Alligator mississippiensis: one gene and its partner. The protein of the gene in region 1 interacts with the protein of each later gene in a pairwise test. Links are inferred from orthologs where the notes say so. Each region holds a gene or a part of one and is shown in the gene's direction. Other genes may lie near its edges.

The links. The genes of interacting proteins can lie anywhere in the genome.
Region 2: the proteins of KLC3 (region 1) and TSNAX interact in binary tests that used the Homo sapiens proteins (3 or more experiments, as listed by UniProt). The two-hybrid records come from large-scale screens. The link is inferred for Alligator mississippiensis from reciprocal best matches to the Homo sapiens genes KLC3 and TSNAX.

What each region holds. Positions count from the first base shown.
Region 1 is NC_081838.1:168,952-176,735, forward strand, and holds the start of KLC3 (kinesin light chain 3), read left to right. Parts: upstream 1-4,776; 5' UTR 4,777-5,019; coding exon 5,020-5,733; intron 5,734-5,884; coding exon 5,885-6,112; intron 6,113-6,278; coding exon 6,279-6,354; intron 6,355-6,533; coding exon 6,534-6,747; intron 6,748-6,913; coding exon 6,914-7,001; intron 7,002-7,266; coding exon 7,267-7,368; intron 7,369-7,449; coding exon 7,450-7,623; intron 7,624-7,758; coding exon 7,759-7,784. UniProt on the Homo sapiens protein: Kinesin is a microtubule-associated force-producing protein that may play a role in organelle transport. Plays a role during spermiogenesis in the development of the sperm tail midpiece and in the normal function of spermatozoa.
Region 2 is NC_081824.1:149,870,810-149,878,442, forward strand, and holds the start of TSNAX (translin-associated protein X), read left to right. Parts: upstream 1-4,630; 5' UTR 4,631-4,676; coding exon 4,677-4,692; intron 4,693-5,776; exon of another isoform or gene 5,777-5,792; intron 5,793-7,633.

The sequences.
Region 1 (7,784 bases):
CCGCAGTCACCATGGGAACCCCGGGACCGTGCCCGGCTGCCCTGCCCTGCCCTGCCAGGGGGCGGTCCCCAGTGCTGGCACCAGCCCATCCCCTCAGGTACCAGCCTGAGGGTGCTGAGCAAGGCCTGGCTGGGATGGGAGCACATGACGCTGCTCCCCCTCACCCCCCCAGCCACCCGCCCCTCGCCCCCATGGCCGACGGCCCAGCACTTTATATAGGCAGCAATGCGGTGCTGGCTCACAGTGCCCTGGCCCCCACCCAAGCAACCCAGCCTGTCCGGGCCCTTGCTGGCACCAGAGCAGAGCAGCTGAGATCGTGTTTCCAGGGATCCAACCCCAGAGCAGGAAGGGGCCAGCAGCTGCAGGGCACCATGATTTATGGGGGGGAACAGTCCTGGGGCCCAGCTCACGTCCACCCCACAGAGTCTGGTGGTGGGCATCAGCCTGGGAGGGTGCTGAGACTGGTCTCGGGCCTCAGGGCCTGGTTGGTGTCGGGACATCCCCAGTGCCCTTGGGGGAGCAGTGGCTTGGGCAGCTCCCAGGTGCAAAAGGCACAATGACCCCTGGCAGGGAGTGGGGCTCGGGGAAGAAGCGTTAAGGGATGAGGTCACAGTGGGCACTGGAGTAGACCGAGGACAGGGGGGCAGCAGGGGCTCTGTGCTGGGGGTGCAGGGCTGAGGCCTTGCCCGGAGAGTGCCCAGTGCATGGGATGGGCGCAGGCTCGGGGCTGTGCCAAACACCGGAGTTTGACACATCAGCGTAACCTGAGCTCTGGCCCCTGGCACCACGGCTGGGAGACAGGAATGCTGGGGGTCAGGCTGAGCCGGACCCTGCAGGCTCCCCAGAAGGGGCTGGTCCCAGGGGCACTGCTAAGACCCCCATGTGCCCCCCTCTGGGCAATTGATTGCCTGCTGTGTGCCCTTCCTGCGGGCACCTGGGACTGTGGCTGGGCTGGCAGTGCCCACGGGGCACCCTGCCTCACTCCAGCTCCCTGCTGGCTCTGGGGGCTGGAACAGGACTGGATCTTGCCCAGGGATCTGCTCAAGGGCCCCTGGGGTGGACGGGGGTGGAGGCAGCAGGTGCAGGGACAGCAGCTGTGCAGAGGGGTGCGGGCCCCGCCTGCGTATGCTGGGCCGGGAGATCAGGTTTCAGCCCAGCCCTGCAGGCAGCTCTGGGGGGATCTCCCTGCTCAGGCTGGGGCTCCTGCCAGGCTCCACTGGCTGGGGGGGTGCACAAGCACAAGCTGGGGTTTGTACATGTATCCAGGGGCCTGCATGTAAGGCCTGGAAGGGGCTGTGACCCTGACACACTGAGGACCTAAATCCTACTGCTCCCACCCTGCCCAGGCACCCAGCTGCGTCCACTGGTGTCCCCTGTCTTGTGCACATCTGTAGGGCCCACATGTGGAGTACGCAGGGGCTACATGCAGTGTGTAGCATGTCCCGGCACCCGGGGAGCAGGCCATGCCAGTCAAGGCCTTGGAGAAGAGCCACAGTATGTGCATGTGTGTGTGTGGAGGGGAGTGGGGTGCGGGCTGGCTGGCACCTGCCCCTGGCCAGGACCTGGCACCACCTCAGCCAGCCCCTGCCTCGGGCACAGGCCCAAAGCACCCCCAGCTGGGCGCCCCTGTCTGGAGGTCACCTTGCCGTGGGCATCACAAGGCCAGGCGTGATCTTGGCTGGAAATATCACGGCACAGGCAGGTGGCCACAGGCAGGGCCAAAATTAGCAGCAGGGCAGGAGCCAGCTGGTTGGAGCTGGGTCCTGCTGTCCCCCGGAGGTGCTGAGACCCCGCCGGATGTGTGTGTGTGTGGGGGGGGGAGTGGGACATGGGACCACCTGGCACCCTGCTGAAAGTTGGAGCCCCCCAGCCTGGGGCAGCCACAGCACAGCCTGGCAGGCACTAGCCCATGCTCCTCCAGGAGTGCTCAGGGCAGCTGTGGGCAAGCTAATCCAGCAGGCTATCTGGGGGTCTTCCAGCCCCAGGGCAAGGGCTGAGCTCCAGGAATAGGCTGCAGCATGTACGACAGTCACTAAACCAGCTCGGCACTGGCTCAAAATAGCAGGACCCACCTGACTGGGGGCCAACCAGGATCTCCCTGGGGGACTAGAGGCACCACAGGGGAAGGGGGCATTGTGGGGCAAGGCCTGCAGCCCCATCATTCTATGCCCCAGGGCCCAGGTGCTCTTGGCCCTGTGCCCACTCCCCACCTGCCAAACACGTTGGGGTGGGGAGGTCACAGCAGCCTGTGCCCAGATCTATGTTGAACCCCCTGCTGCACCAGCCTTCAAGGGACCCATATTGCCATCATCACCCCTCCCCCCACCCCACTTCCAGGCCAGGGGGTGTTCACCATGTTCCCCTCCTACACTGTCTGCTCATGGAAACTGAGGCAAGTGTGATGGCAGAAATTGGCTCTGCATTTCTTCATGCACATGCCTGCACATGCACATGCCCATGGCAAGAGCCTGCAGTGACCTGCCCACATACCTCCACCCTGCCCCCTCAGCTGTGCTGGGCCCTGGGGCATCGCAAGGCTGGGGGAGCTGGTGCTGGGCCTGGGGGGAACCCCCCACCCCAGGCAGTCCTGGTAGGGGTGCCCTGTGCAATGACCTCTGAGCTGATCCGCTGGATCATGAGAATTCAATCCCAGCAGGCTGGGCCGGTCGGGGGGGGGGGGGGAGGGCGGGTGAGCCAGTATTTTTAGAGCCAGCTGGGCAGGCAGGTCGGGTTTCCCACAGTGCCTGTATCTGCACTGCTGGCCTGGCCTGAACAGGCCCACGGCGCCAAGAGGCCCATCCTGGCGCCCGACCCCTCGCTCAGTGCCTGCCTGCACCCAGCTGGGCCACAGCAGCTCCAGCGTTGGGCCATGGCCTGGGCACTTCAGCAGGAGGTGGAGGAGGAGGTGTCTCCTCCCAGCTTCCCCTGGGCTGCCCTGGGACACCTGCCCTGACTCCCCAGCCCAGCCCCACCAGCAGCTGCTGCCCCTGTTCTCAGGACCTGCCCCTTCCCCTGCTGCTGGCTCTCCCACCCTGAAGGTCCAATGCAGGCCCTGGGAGGCACAGAGCAAGCACTAATTACCGCAGCCCCAGCTGGTGCCTGTGATTACCGCTGTGCTCGGTAATTATGGCCTGTCCCCACTGGGCCAAGCCCTGCCAGTGCTGGCCCAGTTCTCTGTTCTCCTCAGCTGGACCCATGGGAGCCATTGTGCCACCTGTGCCCCCAGCCAGCCCAGCAATGCCAAAGCCTGGTCCCAGGGAGGGAAGGGCCCTGAGGAGCCTAGGGGCATCTCCAGCTGCCACAGGGAGTGGGGCTGAGCCCAACAGCCAGAGGCAGCTCTGCCCTGGTGCAGCCACTGTCTGTGCTGAGCTGGGGCAGCTGTGCTGTCCTGCAAGGGCTTTCAGACTGCCAGGCCCTGCTGGGTCTGGGGACAGCTGAGCCTGGGGAGGAGGGGGCTAAAGGGGGCTGCCTCTCTGCAGGGGGCACAGGAGGGCCTGGGAGTGGCCTAAGGCAGTGCTGAGTGGGGGGGGGGGGGGCACAACCATGTGCACATGCACTCATACACATGCACACTCACACACACAAGCACACATGCACTCACAAGAAAGCGCACACACAGATACGTGCAAACAGGCACACATGCAAACACACAAACCCAAAGACAAATGCATACACAAGCAAACACACAAACCCAAAGACAAATGCATACACAAGCAAACACACATGCGAGGAGTAGTCCATCTATTGGCTCCTCTGTGAAATCCTATGAAATATGAACTTTCATTTCGACCCAGGAGAACTTTCACAATCTTTTCTCCAATGCCTCATCAAGGGTGTTTGCGCCTGAAAACTTGCAATTAAAGAACTTCTTTTGTTGCAAAAACGTAGTTGGTCTAATACAAGATACTATCTCTACTACGAGTCCCGACTGCGTTTTCCTTCAGACCAATAGGGCTACAATCCGGATACCTGACAACATACACACGTGCGCGCACACACGCCACCATGCATGAGCACACTCCTGCGGTCCCGGCTGCTCGGCGCTGCCCCCTGGCGGCCCCGGAGGGGCGGGGCGTGCAGAGGCGGCGGCGCTGCGGGACTCGGTGTCACCTCTCCCGGGCCGGGCCGGGCCGGGCCGGGCCGGGCCGGGCCGGGCGCTCGGGGAACCTGGCTCGGGGGCCCGGCCTGCTCGGCTCGGCTCGGCTCTGGCCCCGCGGCTCCCGCCTTCCGGGCCCAGGGCGGCTCCGTGCCCGCATGGAAGGGCTGGCGGGAGCCACTGCCAGGGGCCTGCTTCCAGGGAAACTGAGGCACCGGGCAGGGCCCCGCTTGCAAGAGCCTGGGCCGCGGCTGCAGATTCGGGGGCGGAGGGAGGATCGGGGCCCTTCAGGGGATGCCACCGGCGGGCGTAGGAGCCTACCCCGAGGCCCGGCTGCCAGGCGCGGCCCCGCTCCCCCGACGGAGATGCAGAAGCGGGAGGGCCGACCCGGGACGGGGGCTGCGGGACCCCGGCGGGGCGGGGCGGGGCGGACCGGGGGCCGCCGGGTTCAGCCCCGCTCCGCAGGGTCCGCACGGCCGCGGCCGCTGTCCAGCGCTGGGCGGGGCCGGCCCCGATCCGGGGGGTGGAGGGCGGCGGGGGCTGGGCGAGGCGTGCCCCGCCCACGACGGCCCCGGGGGGCGGGGCGCGGTGCATTGTGGGACCGCCCCCAGCGGCAGGTGAGCGGGGCGGCGGGGATGCTGTAGCGCGGCGCGGCGCGGCCGGGCAGGTGTGTGCGGGGGTCATGGCTGGTCCCGGGCGGGCCCCGAGGCTCGGGCCCCCGTGCCCGGGCTGTGCCCCGGGGCAGGTCCGTGCCGGTGCAGCGCTGCCCTGGCAGGGACCCGCGGGGTAGGCTCCGTGCCCAGGCTGCAGGGCCATGCCCCAGCGCCTGGCAGGGTCATGGGCCCCCGTACCCGTGCCCGGGCTATGGGCTGTGGCCCCATGCAGGGCTCCGTGCTGTGGCAGGATGGTGCACAGGTGCACTGATGCCCTGGCTGGGTCCTGGGCAGGCCCCATGGCTTGGCCCCCGTGCCCAGGCTGCACGCCGTGGCCAGGCTCTGGGGACCCCCGTCTGGGGGCAAGCGGTGCTTTGCTCCGTGCCTGCAGCTGTGCACGCGTGGGCTTGCTCACATGTGTGCTGTGGGCCAGCGAGTGCAGACGCACTCCCTGGGCACCAGCTGACAGGACCAGTTCCCGTGCTCCACCCTGCGCAGGGCAAGCTGGGGCCCATCTGTGCCTCTGGCTGGGGCTGTGTCTGGTGCCGCCCGGGCCATGGAGCTCCCACGCCCCGCCTGTGCCCACCCACAGGGACTTGCCAGCGCCTTCGTGTCCCTGCCCTGCTACCCCCACCTGCCCCTTGGCCTGGTGCTGAGGACTGTGTTGCTTCAGCAGGTGGGCAGGCAGGCGACACCATGTCGGTGGTGGCAGGGCTGGGTGAGGGCACTGGGGGCCGGCCAACAGCGGACGACATCGTGGCCAGCACACGGCAGGTGGTGAAGGGGCTGGAAGCACTGCGCAGTGAGAACTGTGCCATCCTGCTGCAGCTGCAGGGCAGCCTGCACTGCTGTCCCGATGCCGCGCCTGGGACGGAGCTGGAACCCCCGTCTGCCGGGGACTGGGCCCTGGAGCTACTGGAGGAGAAGCACGAGCTCGTCTGCAGGATCTTGGAGGGCATCGAGCTGGGGCTCGGGGAGGCGCAGGTGTGGGGCTGCCAGGGCACAGGGGTAGGAGCTGGGGGGGCCTTGGGGTTGCTTCAGCCCCAGCCTGGAGCTTGGGGGAGTCAGAGCTGGGGAGGGGGTAGGAGCTGGCGGGAGGGGGCACAGCCGACCCCACTGACCCCTGTCCTCACAGCTCCTGCTGGCACTGTCGTCCCATGTCGGGGCGCTGGAGGCAGAGAAGCAGAAGCTGCGGGCTCAGGCCAAGCGGCTGGGCCAGGAGAACCAGTGGCTGTGGGAGGAGCTGGCGGGCACCCAGCAGCGCCTGCAGCAGAGCCAGGAGGCCGTGGCCCAGCTGGAGGAGGAGAAGCGGCACCTCGAGTTCCTGAACCAGCTCAAGCAGTACGAGGGCCGTGACGAGCTGGTGAGAGCACTGGGACCTGCCCATGCCCCGAACCCCACACAGGCTAGAACCTGACCTCCCTGTCCCAGTGCTGGAGCACAGGGCCTGGCTCAGGGACACAGAGCAGCCCTATGGGGCAGGTGCATAGGGAGGTCCCCGCTGCTTCATGGCCCCACTGTGCCCCCAGCTGGAGAAGGACGAGGCACCAGAGCGTGATGACGGGCTAAGCGGGCTCTTCACAGGCGATGAGGAAACGCGGCCGGGTGTGTGCGGGCGGCTGGCGCGGGGGCTTAAGCTGGGGGCAGTGTTGCGGGGGACAGTGTTGGGGGGGGTAGGGCTCCCCATCCATCCTGCCCCCGCCCCAGCACCAGATCTGCCCTTGGCTGCTGGCTGGGGGGGGCCGGGAGCAACTGCCCCCAGCTGATGCCTGTCACCCCCCAAGATGGTGTGGCGGGGAACGCAGCCCAGCCAGGTGGTTACGAGATCCCGGCGCGGCTGCGGACACTGCACAACCTGGTGATCCAGTACGCAGCCCAGGGTCGCTACGAGGTGGCTGTGCCTCTCTGCAAGCAGGCACTGGAGGACCTGGAGAAGAGCTCAGGCCACAACCACCCCGACGTGGCCACCATGCTTAACATCCTGGCCCTCGTCTACCGGTGAGGCCCCCCCAGCTAGCATGTGGGACCCTGGCTGGCCCCTTCCCGGGGCACATGGGACCCTGGCCAGTCCCTGCCTGGGGCACACGGGATCCCAACTGGCCACCTCTGGGCACGCGGGACCCCAGCCAGCACGCCCTGGGACACAGCTCTGCCCGTCTGCCAGGGACCAGAACAAGTACAAGGAGGCCACGGAGCTGCTGAATGATGCGCTGGACATCCGGGAGCAGACCCTGGGCGCCGAGCACCCAGCCGTGAGCGGGGCAGGGGAAGGGGTTCCCTGTGAGGGGCTTCAGGGCCTGACCCACACCCCCAAGTCCGGCCCCAGGGAGGCAGGCCAGGGCTGGGCACCAGCATGTGCCAAGGGGAGGTCCCTTGGCCCTGCCCCCTCCCCATGGGACTGGAGTAGCTCTCCCCCCCCCCCCCACTGGCTCCTGCCCCCACCCTGCATGGGGCTGCGTAGATGGGGTGGGGGGGGGTGGGCACAGAGCTGGGCTCTGAGCCCCCTCTCCCTCACAGGTGGCTGCCACGCTGAACAACCTGGCAGTGCTGTACGGCAAGCGTGGCCGGTACAAGGAGGCTGAGCCGCTGTGCCAGCGGGCACTGGAGATCCGTGAGAAGGTGCTGCCCTCCAACCTGTGCCCCCACTCCCCCGCGCGATGCAGGGCAGAGCCTGACTCTTCCCCCCACTCCGTGCTGCAGGTCCTGGGCACTGACCACCCTGATGTGGCCAAGCAGCTCAACAACCTGGCGCTGCTGTGCCAGAACCAGGGCAAGTTCGCAGCAGTGGAGCAGTACTACGCCCGTGCCCTGCGCATCTACCAGGCCCGACTCGGCCCCCGTGACCCCAGCGTGGCCAAGACCAAGAACAACCTGGTGCCTGGGCTTCGGGGGGCACCGGTGCAGATGGGTTAATGGTGGGGGGGGGAGGGGATGGCTCTGGCATGCAGAGGGTTAAGGGGGCAGTTTTGCCCCCCTCACTGTGCCCTGCCCTCTTCGCCCCTCCCACAGGCCTCCTCATACCTGAAGCAGGGCAA
Region 2 (7,633 bases), on another chromosome or scaffold:
AAGTGCACCCTGGATCTGTGCACAGGGCAAGGGCGGGCTGTCGCTGCAGACTTTGCCCTGAGTGCCAAACTTCCTTGCCAGGGCACTGAAACAGGGTAACGTTGTACCAGATCCTCTCCTTACAGCTCAGCTGGTCTTAAGGTAACCAGTAATGACCCTGTGAGTTTATTACATTCATAATAAAGGAAGGAGGAAGAAGAGAGGCAAAGGGAGATGAAGAGAAGAGGTAGACTGAGAAAAGCATGAGTGACTGAGACAGAGGGAATGCCCCTGGAAGAAGGTCGGTCAGCAGCCAATCCCTAGAGGAAAAAAAAAAGTATTCAGCATTTAAGTGGAAGAAGGCAGAGTCTGATGACATTGCCCATGCTGTGAAAGTTGCTATTTCCAGAAGAAAAATCTCCACTCCTGGGACTTGTTGACACCTGCCTCTGCTCCCCACAGCTTCTGTATCTAAAGGGAAAAAGCTGCCTGGAGCTTTGTGACCCTAGGGGGTGCTTTCAGAATGGGGCTTTCCCAATTTCCTCTGAGGATGGAGCTCAGTAGGCACCAGTGGAACCTTATCCACCATGTCCCAATTTATTGTACACTTCCTCAAGCTCCTGCCAAGCTTTTTTCCTGGGCTTCACTCTAACAGCATTTTGGGTGTACAGGAGTGCAGGTGTGATTATTGTAATGAGTGCTCAGGTGCAGGGATATGGGTTTTTCGGACTGGTCTGTTTTGAAAGCGTTCTGAGTTGGTGTGTGTGTGTGTGTATACATACATACATATATATATATGTGTGTGTGTGTGTGTATATTTCCCAAAAAAACCCAACTTTATAGTCGGCTACTAGAGAAGTGTGTTTGGGAGGTGGCCTTTTGGCTCATATCAAGTGTAGGGGGCATCCAGATCCCAAGACCTCTGGGCTTGGGCCTGCATGTTGGATGCCTGCCAATGGATTTAGGAGTAGCTGAAGTCCCAGAGTGAGAGCCTAGGCTGGAGGATGCTAGCCAGTTGTAGCGCCATGCATGGTGTTTAGAATGATTACGTTCTGCCTGATCGATTGATATGGTTTTTGGAATGCTTGAGTTCTGTCCAATCAATATGATTTGGCTGATTTGACCTGGAACACAAAATGTATATTTTAAAAAATCCTGTTTTTTTTTCCTTCAGCCCTTGGGTCCAAGTGAGAGGGGGTTGCTTAGAACCAGGTAGTGGCCTGGGGAGCTGCCACAGAGGGGGTTCCCTTGCCAGTCTGGTTTGGGAAACCCACTTGTCTGGCTAGTTCTGCCACAGTAATCTGAATTATGTTGATAGCGAGGAACATCTGTTTTCAATATTATGTTAAAACACAGATTAGAATTACAGTAATAACAAACAATTAGTTTTTGTTAACAGGGACTTGCATGTAAAAGTTGCGCAATGTCATATGACTCCATAGCTCATACGCTTTTGACAATGAAACAAGGAACCCAGTCATGGGAAGCATAACACAAGTCTTCCTGCCTTGATTAAAATCTCAGGCCATATAGCAGATAAATATGTGTTTTAGCATTGCCATTTTTATTATTTTAGGATAAATGCATGAGTCATGCCCTCCATCTACTAGGTATCACAAAGCTGCAGCATATCACATTTCAAAACACTGCATTATGGGAATATGAGTTTATTTTAAAGGTGCAGATAGTTATTTCTGCATATGTGAATATCCTCCTAGTCTAGTGGATCAACCTGACGCACCTAGAAAATATGGAGTGGGTGAGAATCTTATTTTCTGAGATGAACCTAAAAAATACGTAGTGGGCAAGAATCCTATTTTTATAAAATATATTGTAGTATTTCAAGACTATTGGCACAAAAGGCACCGTGCTAACAATGGGTGGATCAGTCATCTGTATGCACACTTGTCATCATACACTCCTGTTCCTGCTTTTGCTGGAACTTTATCCATACTATAAAATTTGAGCAGTGTAAAGCTGATGGGGCAGGAGTGGTGGCATGTAACTGCTACTGATGTTTTTCCCCAGTAAAACAGGGAAAGAGGTAGGGCTGCTTAGAGAGATTGGGATGCCCTTAATGGTACCTACTCAGCAACAGCAAGTTGAAGGTGACCAAAGGTAGTGAAATGAAGAAGGACTGGTGTTACTGGTCTCTCTTGTCAGGATGGTGGTGATGCAGAGGGTGGGGAGACATGGAGACCAGTATGTCATCAGTGGCTCTTGTGCTAGTGCAGCTCCTGCATTACAATGACTTAATTGCTTTTTTCCATATCTCAGTGTTGTCCCAATCAAAACGCTGCAGCAGAAACTTCCCTGAGATTGACAGAAAGGTAAATCCTCTCAAATTGTCCATGGGGTGAATGGAACTCCAACCAGCTTTTCTGTCAGAGCCATCAAGGTATAATCCTCTGTGAAGTTGATGAGGCAGCCTGGGGAAAGCATAGGTGAAACCAGTGAGGCAGAGAGAGGTGGCCGGTTACCAGAATATATGAATTCCAGATATGCAGGATGTGCGTCCTTTAACAGGACAGGAGGGATTGTTGAGCTCATTTGTACACATTTTTATTACTTTGTGTACATTAAACAACTTGAGGGGAGGAAGGATGGTATAGCAGATAGGACATTGTACTATGGCTTCAATGCTTGGCTCAGCCACAGGTCTCCTGTGTGAATTTGGGCAAACCACTTGTTTAATGCTATGCCTCGGCTTCCCAACTGTAGAATGGGGTTCGGATACATTCCTGATAAACGCTCAGATACTGCATTGATGAAGGTCAGATAGAAAAATAACGGCCATCACGCAGAGGTCCAGGCTTAAACCCGGAGGTTCCTGCCTAGAGGACCTTATGGCTTCACTCGGGGTCAAACTGATTGCCATGGTTGGGGTCAAGAAGGAATTTCACCCCATGGTCAGGTAAGTATGGACTGTGGGGAGGTTTTGCCTTCCTCTCTAGAGCGGGGGCCCTCTTCCTGGGATCTTCCAAGTGTATATTAACAACCCTTGCAGTTGCAGGATGTTGGCTGCCATGGTCCCCCTGTGTTACCTGTGGCAGATAAAGGTGCTGTATTATGGTTGACTGTAGTTTTACTGAGAGGTCAGGCCAGTGGCTCTCAGCCTTTCTGGACTGGAGGCAGCCCTCCATAACTTTTGTGAACTGAGCGACACCCATTTTCAAAAACTAATGTACAGATTATAGCGCTTACCTCCTTATGCAGGGGCTGAGCAGTAGGGGTGGGAGATTGTCCAGACAGGGACACACTTGAGCCTGGCTTATTTCCTCATACCTAGTGGCACCCTGCAAAAGATCTGGTGGCACCCCAGGGTGTCCCAGCACCCTGGCTGAGAATCATGGGGTTAGACGATAGACTTGTTTTTGGGATGGTTTGGCTAGGAACGATCCTGCCTCAGGCAGGGGGTTGGATTAGATCAAGTGTTTCATGGGTCATAACCCAAAAATGGGTCACAAGAATATATGAAAGGGTCATGAACAAACTTAAAAAAAAAAAAATTGATCAACAAACTTTAAAAATGGATTGTCTTTTAAAGGAGAAAAAATGTGGGAAACGACGGCATTTCCCTTGCAGGCTGGCAGAGCTCCAGTCTGTGAGGGGCTGCTTGAGGTTGCCACTGGCCCCAAACACTGTGGGGATCGGGCCTGGTGGCAGTGGGTTGGGGGTGAGAGGCACTGGGTTGGGACTGGCCATCGATGTTTACAAATGGGTCCTGGTATAAAAAAAAATCCAGAACCACTGGACTAGATGCCCTTGGGAGGTCCCTTCCTGCTTTATTTCGCTAATACTTCATGTCAGTTTCAGGACTCCTATTGTATCATGCCTGCCTCTCTCTTCCCAGACATTTTATAGTTCTTAATGTGGTTGCTCCCTTGAAATCAAGTCAGATAACAATAATCATAATAATCACATTAATAAAATAACCATCATTATTGCCACAATTATCACACTAATAAAATAATAATCATTATCACCATAATAATCACAATAATAAAATAATCATAATAATCACAATAATACTGATAATAAATCATCATAATAATCACAATATAATACATAATAATAAAAAATAGCTATCACGATAATCACAAGGATAAAATAATCATCATCATTATCATATTATGAATTATAATTCATAAGCTGAGAAAAAGCTAATTTTGAACGAGTGGGTGAAGGTGGAGCATTTGCTGCGGTGGGAGGACGCATGTTTGTCCCATAGCTAAAGCACCGCAGGAGCAACGGGACAGACGCTGTCTAGGCAGCCACCGCCGAGGCGAGCGGGAGCAGCTCAGGGCCGCACACTCCAGGCACTCCCAGCTTCGCCCACTGCAGCGGCACCTCCCCCTCCCAGAACTATAGTCCCCATGATGCAAAGCGCCGCCGCGGGGCCTGTAGAGAGCTGGGTTCCTGACTTGACCCCTCTCTAAGCTGCCCTACAAAATGCCTGTCCAGAAACAGTGACGTTTCCCAGGGCACACCGCCTTGGGCGGACGAGACAGCCCCTGCCTTCCGGGCAGCTGCTCTCTGAGCGGCCCATGGGCTCCGGGCCCGTTCCGTTTGGGCAGCGCGCCTCTTGGCCTGTCCTCAGGCGCTTGCGTGGACGTCTCGTTAGGGCTGAGGGGAGGGGAGAACTCGGAGGGGGCGGGGCCTGGCGCGCGCGGGCTGCGGAGCGGAGCGGAGCTACCATGAGCGGCAAGGAAGGTGACTGGCGCGCCCCTCCTCCACCCCACGGAACGTTGGGGCGGAGGCGACGTCACGCGGGAGGGGAGGGGGCTGCCTCGCGCGGGCCACCTGGCGGCCCCCGACTCTGGGGACACCTGCCACACGGGCCCGAGCTGTGACGTCGGCAACGGCCGCTCTCTGCAGGCGCGTTCGCGGCACATGGCAGCGCCCACGTCGTGGCCCTTTGTGACGTCCGCGAGGCGGCCAGGCTCCTAACCCAACCCCTACCCCCAGCCCGGCAGCCTGCGTTGCCTGGAGACGGGGGGGCCGGCTCCCATCTAGGCCCAGCCCTGCCTGAGGCAGGAGCACCGTTGGCCAGGCCAGTGGGGTGCAAGCAGTGTGGCCAGGGCTGCCATCATTGTCTTGCTTGTGCGAGGATGTCAACGCTTTTGTGATGCACCATGCACGTGCAATCATTTTTCAGGCAACTCATTGATGTGGCACATGACCCAAGTGCCTCTCAGGGAGGCTTAATCGGCTTTTGGGTCTGCTGTCAGCGCTCCCTTATGACCAGGGAGCCTAGTTTTCTCTGAAAAAAAAAAGAAAAAAGGAAAAATCCCCAATTTTCGGTGTAAAAAAAGTAACTTAAAATGCACGTTTCCACCATTAAAATGAAACACCAGTAGTCAGTCTGTCTGTCTGTCTATCTATCTAGTGGCGTTTCATTTTAATCATGGGGAAATGTGGATTTTGGGTTACTTTTTTAAAACTGAAAATTGGGGATTTTTTTTTTAATCAGAGAAAAGCAGGCTTCTTTTATTGCTAGCCTTGCAATAAAGGCTTCAACTTGGATGACCCATTCTCACTTGCTCACTGTCGACTTAGTGAGCAGTATAAATAAGAAAAAGACTAATTAACATATTTTTTCAGCATAGGATATTTTTTTCAGCAGATACCATCATTTTGAGCTTCCAGTATGATGATTTCATATTTAAGACCTGGCAACTCTGGCTGAAAGGGACCTCCACAGGGCATCTAGTCCAACCACCTGCCTGAGACAGGACTATCCCTATCCAAACCATCCTGTACAACCCTTCATCTAAACCAGTGTTTCTCAAACTGTGGGTTGTGACCCCAAAGTGAGTCACAAGAATATATGAAAGGGTTGTGAACAAACTTTAAAAATGAAAGGAGATGAACATGGGAAACTGCGGCTTTTCCCTTGCAGGCTGGCAGAGCTCTGGCCCTGGGCTGCCTTCTGCCTGGTGTTTAGAGGCCCCTCTTGTCGCTAAAGCATGTCATGAACTCTTGTTTGTGGGGGTTGTGGAGGGGAAGGGCAGCATTTCACTTCCAACTAGGTGAATGGCACGGGGCCGCTCCATGACATGGATCGGGGCCCACGCCACCTCCGTCTTTCAGGTTTAAGCCCCCGGCCACCACACTGCCCCCACCTGACTGGAATCCGAGTCCCTGCCCACCCCCCTATGTGCCACAAATGGGCCCTGCACTCCATATTTAGGGCTTCCCACATCCCACAGGCTGGATGGCATGGCATGGAGGGGACTGGATCTTGCTCACAGGCTGGTGGCTGAGCAGATGAAGGTGTCCATCCTACAGAGCAGAGCATCTCCTTTCCTGCCCTGTGTTGAAGGGGTTGTGCCTGTGGCCAAGTTCAGATGTTGCAGGTGTAATGGCACCTTGAGCTCAGGCCCAGACAGAGACGGCAAAGTGCTGGCTTTTAGCAGTGGCGACGCATAGGGGGTGTATGAGTACCCCGAGAGCACCAGTGCACCCCTGGCTGGCTGCGCTTGCCGCTTAGGCAATGGGCAGGGGGGACAGGCAGGAGTGCTGATGCCCCCCCCCTGCAAGCGCTAGCCAGGGAGTGGGAGTGCTGTGGCGCTCTCAGAAGTGGCTGCAGCAATCGGCCACCTTGCGATTGGCTGCGGGGGACACCCCCCCCCATCAGTGAGATTGGCCATGGGGGGACTCCCCCTCAGTGGCTGACTGGTTGCTGGGGGAGAGGGGGGCACATCCCCCCCGACTAAGGCAGCACCAGTCACCCATGGCTCTTAGCTTGCCCTTTTTCAATGTAACTTGGCCTGCTTTCATTTCTGATTTGGGAACCGTAAGGATAGACAGTAAAAATAAACAAAATCAATATGTGAGTTGGGATAATATTAAACAGATAAATTAAAATGTGTGAAGTGTACCCTTCTTTTGTAGCTCTAAAGTTGTTTCCTTTAAAAGGAAAACTTTAGCTGGAGTCTCCACCCCCCATGTCAGTATAACTTATTAGAGTAGGTGCAGCATTAGTACCTAGGATAGCTTTGTGCTTCACATCTTCCTGTCTGACAAGGGAACGGGGTATTGTGACGGAGGAACAAATGCAAATGAAGATTATATGAGTTTACATAGGCTTATAAGTGGAAGCAGGGGAAGGCAAGAGGATTAAACACCACAGGAGTGCATGTCAAAGTTAAAATACAAGTTGTAAGAAATTGGTTGAGAGAGGATTGTAAAGAGAAAAAGTGACACCATTTTGTGCAGAGCAAGAGACCTGGAAGTTCAGTGTTAGGGAACAGTATAACAGGGAAAACATTACACCAGTGAGTGGGAAGGGGAGACGAGGACAAATGTGCTCGTCAGAGCATGGGGAGCTGAGAGGGGGCATAATAAGAAATAAAAATGAATACCATTAATCAGTAACAGTTACTTACATTGCTTCTTTGGCTGGGTCTCCTCTGAAGACCAGAGTCTTATGGGTATGCCAATGAGATGCTTGTAACTACAGTAATAGGGTTATTTTTATTTGAAAGGTCTCTTTACAAACTGTGGGTCCAATTCTGTAGTCTTTTGTTCACACAAGGCGTGACATTGACTTCAGTGGGGTTAAGAGTTTGCAGGGTTAGGCCTTATAAACGTATAGCACTAAACAAATTCAGCTAACTGTTTGTAGAAGGGAAATTTTGTGAAGGGACCC